Daphnia pulex: one gene and its partner. The protein of the gene in region 2 interacts with the protein of the main gene of each other region in a biochemical or structural test. Links are inferred from orthologs where the notes say so. Each region holds a gene or a part of one and is shown on either strand. Other genes may lie near its edges.

Region 1 (4,063 bases), on a different chromosome or scaffold from region 2:
TATATCATTTTCAACAACTGGCAGAGATTCTTGAAATGAATTTCTTCTTTCATCCGATGTCTGACTTAAACCAGCATGCCACTTTGCCTGTCCATGCTTGTGTAGATCCAATTGAGCAAATGAACAAACATCGCCGACCCCAACAACCTCTACCGTAAATTGTCGCAAAAAGTCGACTATCTCCTGGGCTTTAGGTCGAAGCCCAAAATATAGAATGAATGGTGTAACTATGGGAGATATGAGCTCCTCAAGAAGATACACAGCTTTGTATTGGAACAATCTCGATAGACCTAAGCGTACCTTCAAAGTAACCAACAAAATTATCTGGCTCAAGAATCTAATAATTAGAATATCATTACCTCGTGTGTATGGGCCTTATCTTTCCATTCAGCGGGTAAGTAGTGAACTTGGGTTAAAATAGTCTCCATAAGGCTTTCAGGACACCATACAATATTTTCTTCGGGAATCAAAACTCGACAGCCTGAACCGATTTTCAAGTATAGAAAGTTAGAAGGGTGGCAAGTTTTTTGTTTTTACTTCTTAAAATAATAAATGAACAACTGGTTCTAAGTTGTGTTTTAACTTCATTTTATGAAAAATAAAGTTGAATTTAATTGTGAATGAATAAACGAAAATTTAAAATTAAGATACCAACTTACCCGCAACAACGGCACCAAGAACGGTCATTATGGTGAGCACATGCTCCACCGTAATAACGTCTTCATCGTAAACAGTCAGCAGAACTAAAACTGCCAAAATGGCACCCGCCAAGAAAGCGAAATTCCGCGCAAAGATAGCTACCAAGTTAGAAGAAAAGCCAGAAAGGTAATGAGTAGCCGGTCGATAAGCTCTACTTAGACGGGCCTAAGTAAAAATTCCATTTAACATAATATTTACAAAATTTTTGCCAAAAAATCGTACTTGTAACTCGTGATCTAGTTCATTGAAATGCCGCAAATATAATCTCCCATAAAGTGACCACCTGCGAGCGCCAAGGCTTCCGGGCTCTCTTTTCACAACTTCGGCGTAATTGAAGAAAGCATAGAGTAGTTGCCATAGCAATACCAACGGAGCCAACACGAAATTAAGGATGCCTGTAGTTAAATTTGTAAACAGCATGCATTTAGTAACGACATTTTAGCTTGAATGCCTCGACAAAAAAGTGAAACAAAACAATTACCGATATATCCAATTACTTTTGATAAATCTTTGGCCAACTCTCTTCGCTGGTTAACACTTTTGTACTCTTCACGCAAATGCCAACTGTTGTCAAAAGGAGCCCAAGGACCCCAGAATAGAAGAAATTCGATATTATACTTCAGTCCTCGACTAAGAAATAATGTTTCTCCAACAAGTGGCGCCTTAAACTTTAGTGGGAGGATGGACTTGTTGACCATTGCGACAAAGTAATTCTTAAACCTGAATTTAAAAAATGAGTATAAATACAAATATATGGAAACTACACATTTTTAAAAAAACAGTATTACTGTGTTTACCTTAATATTCGATGATAAATATCAAGTTCCGTTAGCTCGGCTTTATGAATACACATCTGGTACTCCTGCTGAGCCTTTCTTACTCTCTGTTGAACTTCGTGCCAAGTTAAGTTTTCGAGATCTTGGTCACCTGAAATTATGAAATTCTATAAATGTTGTTGCTAGTAAAGCATTAGGAGGACAATTAAATACCAATTTGTAGAGCTGATTGATAAAAACAACGAATTTCAGAATATTGAAAAAAATGGTAGATAACACCAATAAGTCGTAATATCCAGCAGAACAATGCAATAAAAATACAAATCCACATTGTTAGACTGAAAGAAGACACACATTCCCCTGGGCTTTCAACCACATCTGATAACTAAAGAAATATTTGAAAAATATTATCCCTCTAAGCTTTAATTATGTAAAACAATAAAAACTCACAGTTATTTTTGATGTGCTGTTGACTGTAAATTCATCCCTAGGGAGTTACAATGTAACCGTTAAAATTCATAATATGAAATAAACTATACTCACTACCATTTAGAAAAAAAACAATATTGTTTTAAATAAAAGAGCTATGCATGTGAAAACCAAATAAGGCACTTCCTATTGAATCTTGAAAACAACCATTACTGTTGAAATTTTATATTCAATTCAAAAGTGCTGAAAATGTCAACACTCCTCTCAAATTTGTACTAGTTTTCAAAAGGTATTTCATCTTTTGCAGATAGCAAATAAATAATAACAATGTTTAACTATACAAAAATTCAGTAATTACCTGAATAAAATTTTGTAGTTCACACATTGCAGCAAAAACGAAGAAAACCCCACTATGAATGCAAACTGTAAAAGTTCAAAACACTCCTGCAACATCATGCAGAGAAATCCATGTTGCTGATGATAAAAGTAAACACGTGAAAAAAATGAATCCAGGTCTTCTATATGATTCCACCTTGCTAAAATAATTAAAAAGATGAATTACTTGTTTAGAAAAAAATTATCAAAATCACCTACATTTATTTTCAGGAACCACATGAATCAACACAGTTTCATTGCTGTTATCTTCTTCTCCTTCAAGAAACTGACTGTGTTTTCCTGCTGAATTTTTCATCTTGATGTTTACAAATTGTTAACAGAATCCCAGAATCCTACATTCAAAAAATTGCGTAGAAATAGAAATTTCTACAGCAGTTTTAGAACAAGGTATAGCTGTCTAATGAAGTCAATGTAAACAAATTGCGTAAAATTCTTTCTTCTAGAATCTAGTCAGAAACTGGAGTAAATAAATAAAAGCAAGAGAAGTTGCAAAATATGATGCCACGTTGCCAGGTGGCATGAATCCATCTCACTTTGTCCTTTATTTTCATACAATTTTGTTTTTATTGTTATTATTTATTTAAAAATAAGTTTTAATTAAGAAATTTTTTGAATTCGAGATAAGGGATTTTATTTCCAGCAATATGAGATAATTTACAAATTTATTTGAACTCACTAACATAAACTGTATTTTCTGATTAGCTCCTACATAATTCTAAAACAGTGTTTTAAAGAGCAGAATGTGCAAATTTTCAATCAAAGAAAAACAATCAAGAGAGATGAACACCTTATTTGAAAACGAGGAATATATGTAGTGGCACCCACTGGAAATTTCATCTACGCTGGCGAAAAGTATAACAAGTTTGAACATGTTCACAATGAATCTTGACGTTCTTCTTCGTCATCCCGAAAACCACTCAGAGGATCAGATAATAAAGGGCTCTCAGAAATGGAATAATAATTCCCGTTGTACAAAACTCCGAGATCCCGCAGAATTTCACCTCGTATTGTGGCGTTGATAGTCCAACGAAAACACCGCAGATCCTCACGCTCGCGCTCCAATCGGTGAACATCGATTATTTTGGTTTTCAGTCTCTCAAGTATGACCCCAAGATCGAAAATGGTCAAGTGCTTGTGTTTTTCATTGCACAGCTGATCCGTCAGAAGAAGCAACTTCTCCGTCGTCACGCTATTCTCGTTTTCAAAATCGTCTTCCATGGTGTTGCTGCTGTCTTGCTCCATCTCCGATCCTGATGCGTTCTCCTGGTGCTGATGCTGGGATCTGGACGCGGCGAGACTAGAACGGCTCTCCACTCCATCATGAATCACATTCGTACCGTCGTCACAGAAATGAACGTGAGTAGACTTCAAAATTTTACTCATGGAATGAATTCGATGACGATGACATTCGGCACTTTGGATGGAGCGGCCTCTGTCGTGTAGTGATCCACAGTGAAATTCACATTTATTCAAATCGTGCTGGAACGCTGCTGAAGAAGCGCTTGAACGCAAAAGCTGGGGGTCTTTACTTGAGCCAGAAATTGGAACGTGATTGGCGGCTTGCGAGTCATGGGCTACTACTACATTTGAACAAGCCCCTGAAACTGCATTGCAATCCCTAAGAGTCGACTTGAAAGTCGCGCCTGCACTGGCAGTGGAAGCAGATTGTTTGACGTTAATAGGCTGACTGTCGACGATTTCCTTGTCGCTGATGGTTGCAGCAACTGAATCTTTTAGTATAGAACTAGCACCAGTCAAAGAGT
Region 2 (4,294 bases):
ATCAATCTCCACCTCTGGCACCCCCGCCTGCGCCGCCTACCACCACAACAACTAACGATCTTCAGCAGATGTCGACGCCTAAAGGAGCTACCATGGCCACATGCGAGGGATGTGGAAAAATGGATTTCATTTCCAAATTTCGTCGTTCAAAACGCTTTTGTTCCACAGCCTGCTCGAAAAAGTATGTCATTAACCCATTTATCTTTTGACTCTTTTAATTTTAACCGTGTTTGTTTACTTTTGAAATAGGTCTAACATAAATGCTTCGCCAGCAGTTGGACCCGTTCAGCCGAATCAACAGCAGCAGCAGCAGCAGGAAACTGTCTCGACAACGACTTGTGTCAACGGTCAGGGAGTAAAAGCAGCCGTTGGCGGTGGTGGTGGGCTACTGACCACTGCGACGTCAACCACTCACTCACCCGCTGCTGCTTCAACAACAGCCGAAGCCAACAACAAATTGGCTTCTCCAACGGCCGTGACAATTCCTCAGGGCCCAACTCCTCCAACGAGCTTTGCTCCCTCTGGAGATAAAGAAGATATCAGCTTGGATGCAGAGTTGTGTGCTCTGGCTGCTCAGCAATTGCGTTCTCCCACAGCCTCACTATCTCAAACACCAACTCACCAGCTCAAACCTGAGCCGAAAACTAATCCAGCCAAGTGGAGTGTAAGTTATTTATTGTTACGACTTAGATTGCACTGATAATTAAGACTTCTATTCATTCAGGTTACCGAGGTCGCGGATTTCGTGCGAAGTTTAACTGGATGTGCAGATTATGCCGAAGATTTCGCATTGCAGGAAATTGATGGCCAAGCGCTCATGTTATTGAAAGCCGATCATTTGATGTCTGCCATGTCGATGAAACTTGGGCCGGCATTGAAGATTTGCGCCAAGATTGATGCTATGCGTGGTGCATCCTCCTCTGAGGGCGGTAATAGCAATCCACAAAACGGAAATTAATGTGGGAAAAGTTCAATCCCCCATTTTTGTGTTGTTCTCCACCAGAAATCGATACGTGTTATGTTTGCCTCATTCAACTGTAATTTGACTCATTGTACTTTTCTGTCTATAGTTTGTTTATGGTTCACGATATGTTTCTTCGTCATTTCTCTCTACGTATTTTGCTTTGGTTATTCACCTTCATTACAGTAATTCTCATTTCGTATGACACATAGATCGTCAGTGAACAAATATATATATATAGATCATTCATACAAAATGTAATGCTCGGTGTAACAAAAGGCATTTAGGACAAAAATGCCATATAACCGCATATAACATTTTCGGAACGAAGAATTTTCGTTTTCAGTGTAATAAATTGACATTGTAATAATAATTTAAATATACATAAAAATCCATTGAATCAAACGTATTTCGTATTATTTTTAATGGTATATTTTTAAAAAATGCTTGAATCAGTCGAATTCTTGAAAATGATTTTAACCTTGAAAGTTCTACTTCCACCCGAGTATTTCAAATGTGGCGCTCCGAGCGCTTTACGGACTTCAGCTGTTTGGCCTGTGATATGGATTGACTTTCTTTCTTGTTAGCACTGTGTTACTGTCATTTCACTCTGACAGTACAAGTCTGCTATCAAACCAAATTGAATACTTATCCACAGTGGGAGAAATTGGGCTGGTAACAGTTACTTTGAGGTAAGAGGTTATGTTTTTTTCGTTGGTGTGGTTTTGAATTATGATGTTTAAAGCGACACAAGACCGTGATCTTCAGGAACGGTGGTTGTGTGTTGGGTAATGCGAAAGTTTATTGGTAGGCGTTGCTCGATATATCAGCTAGTCTACCGGTATTGAGACGGGATATCCTGTGAAGGCAATCAAAAGAACTCGTGCATGCATGGCAAAAAGATAATTCAACATTTCAACAAAAAGTTGCATAGCTTCATTTGCATACTCTAGTTCACAGAGCAAACCATCTACCAAAGAGTTCTTATGGACTTGTATACATGCTAAATGTCATTCTGCACGTTTGAAAAAAAAGTGTTATTTTCTTCATTCATAGGTTTATCACAAAGCTTCAAGAGTCAAGATGATTGGAGGCCTTTTCATCTACAATCACAAAGGAGAGGTCCTAATATCACGTGTGTACCGTGATGACATTGGCAGAAATGCAGTTGATGCTTTCCGAGTAAATGTCATCCATGCTAGGCAGCAAGTCAGATCACCTGTTACAAACATTGCCAGAACCTCCTTCTTCCATGTTAAGGTATTTTCTGATTTGCCATTTTGAAATGTTTTAATGTTCTCAGGATCAATAATCCTTTACCTTTTTTTAGCGTGCTAATATTTGGGTGGCAGCTGTCACCAAACAAAATGTCAATGCCTCTATGGTTTTCGAGTTTCTCTTGAAGGTCACTGACTGCATGCAGTCATACTTTGGTAAGGTATCAGAGGAAAACATCAAGAACAATTTTGTCCTCATTTACGAACTTTTGGATGGTATGTTGGGAAGCAAACACAATTTATTTGTTTGTGTGTTGTTCCTTATCCAATTTATTCATTCTATCAGAGATTCTTGATTTTGGCTATCCCCAAAATACCGACACGGGAGTGTTGAAGACGTTTATTACTCAGCAAGGTATTCGCACGCAAACCAAAGAAGAGCAGGCCCAGATTACCTCTCAGGTATAGATTCGCTCAAACAATTAATGCTCAATGATTGTTTTTAAAATATAATCATGTGGTTATGATTTCCAGGTGACAGGCCAAATCGGCTGGCGACGCGAAGGCATCAAGTACCGGCGAAACGAACTCTTCCTTGACGTATTGGAATACGTCAACCTTCTAATGTCGCCGCAGGGTCAAGTACTTTCAGCTCACGTGGCTGGCAAAGTAGTGATGAAATCCTACTTGTCAGGCATGCCCGAATGCAAGTTTGGAATCAACGATAAGATTATCATGGAGGCTAAGGGTAAACCTACTGCGGATGAATCCGCTGCTCGCACTGGCAAGACAGCTATTGTGATTGACGACTGTCAATTTCACCAGTGTGTCAAGTTGTCTAAATTCGAAACGGAGCATTCGATTAGCTTTATTCCCCCTGACGGAGAGTTTGAACTCATGAGGTTAGTCTGTTCTCCTTTGGTATATACATTGAATTTATGCTAACAAGTGTTATTTTCGATTGCAGGTACCGAACGACCAAGGACATTTCGTTACCTTTCCGAGTTATACCGTTGGTGCGCGAAGTGGGCCGGACAAAGATGGAAGTCAAAGTGGTTGTCAAGTCTAACTTCAAACCTTCGCTCCTGGCACAGAAAATCGAGATACGCATTCCAACGCCTCTCAATACATCGGGCGTTCAACTTTTGTGCATGAAAGGCAAAGCCAAGTACAAAGCTTCTGAGAACGCCATCGTTTGGAAGTCAGTTGCAAACTTTTCTTTAGATCAAACATTAGAGCTGTGTTGTTAAACTTGTGTGGTGTTGATGTTGACAGGATCAAACGGATGGGAGGTATGAAGGAATCACAACTTTCAGCTGAAATTGAGCTTTTGCAAACGGACACGAAAAAGAAGTGGACTCGACCCCCCATTTCCATGAACTTTGAGGTATTTTCGAGGATGATGTGTGTCGTGCATATCGATTGCTCTAATTTGGATTTCTATCATAGGTTCCGTTTGCACCATCGGGCTTTAAAGTTCGATATTTGAAAGTCTTTGAACCCAAGTTGAACTATTCTGATCACGACGTCATCAAATGGGTTCGCTACATCGGACGCAGCGGCCTCTACGAAACGCGTTGCTGAAGAAACGGACGATTCATTTTCGTTGGAAGATGAAGAAACTCGTCTCCAATTCTATTTCTCCTCTTCATGATTAACCCATCACTTACTACTCGTCCGAAAGAAGAAAAAAAAAGAAGAAAGATCTTTGTTAGTCTGTCTTATACTTAGGTCGATGTCGTTGTTGCATCTGCTGAGCGGTGCGAGAGAGTGGATGAATCCTGCTAATGGGAAAAGTAGCTCTGTCTGTTAAGTTTCTTTCATCCAGGATCAAAATTCTGTTTAGTTTAATATTCAAAAGCTTGTACTTCTCTCATCTACTTCTTTTCTCTTCCTTTTATTTTTTTTCATCCGTGTTGAGTGTTGAGTACGTCGTCGGAATTATTTTTCCTTCCCATCTATATCATTGTTAGTGCGCAGAGAGCGAAATTAACCCCCTTCTCCCCCTACCCCCAAAAAAAGAAAAAAAATATCCACAGAATAGTCGTCTTGACTGGATTGCGTTGTTACTGCTTGGATTAGCAGTTCGCGTTCTCTCTCTCTCTTTTTCTCTCTC

The links. The genes of interacting proteins can lie anywhere in the genome.
Region 1: the proteins of AP-2 complex subunit mu (region 2) and autophagy-related protein 9A-like interact in a biophysical measurement, tested with the Homo sapiens proteins (4 studies listed by BioGRID and IntAct, with this or other methods). The link is inferred for Daphnia pulex from reciprocal best matches to the Homo sapiens genes AP2M1 and ATG9A.

The regions. Positions count from the first base shown.
Region 1 is NC_060017.1:4,163,949-4,168,011, forward strand, and holds the start of autophagy-related protein 9A-like, read right to left. Parts: upstream 2,801-4,063; 5' UTR 2,596-2,800; coding exon 2,499-2,595; intron 2,441-2,498; coding exon 2,263-2,440; intron 1,963-2,262; coding exon 1,926-1,962; intron 1,861-1,925; coding exon 1,689-1,860; intron 1,627-1,688; coding exon 1,497-1,626; intron 1,420-1,496; coding exon 1,181-1,419; intron 1,095-1,180; coding exon 922-1,094; intron 865-921; coding exon 660-864; intron 482-659; coding exon 360-481; intron 301-359; coding exon 1-300. Other genes in the region: uncharacterized protein LOC124194405, read right to left, coding at 3,174-4,063. UniProt on the Homo sapiens protein: Phospholipid scramblase involved in autophagy by mediating autophagosomal membrane expansion. Cycles between the preautophagosomal structure/phagophore assembly site (PAS) and the cytoplasmic vesicle pool and supplies membrane for the growing autophagosome.
Region 2 is NC_060028.1:9,468,591-9,472,884, reverse strand, and holds the start of AP-2 complex subunit mu, read left to right. Parts: upstream 1-1,494; 5' UTR 1,495-1,653; intron 1,654-2,017; 5' UTR 2,018-2,044; coding exon 2,045-2,221; intron 2,222-2,291; coding exon 2,292-2,454; intron 2,455-2,524; coding exon 2,525-2,640; intron 2,641-2,712; coding exon 2,713-3,080; intron 3,081-3,145; coding exon 3,146-3,379; intron 3,380-3,453; coding exon 3,454-3,565; intron 3,566-3,627; coding exon 3,628-3,762; 3' UTR 3,763-4,294. Other genes in the region: polyhomeotic-proximal chromatin protein-like, read left to right, coding at 1-181, 250-664, 725-958.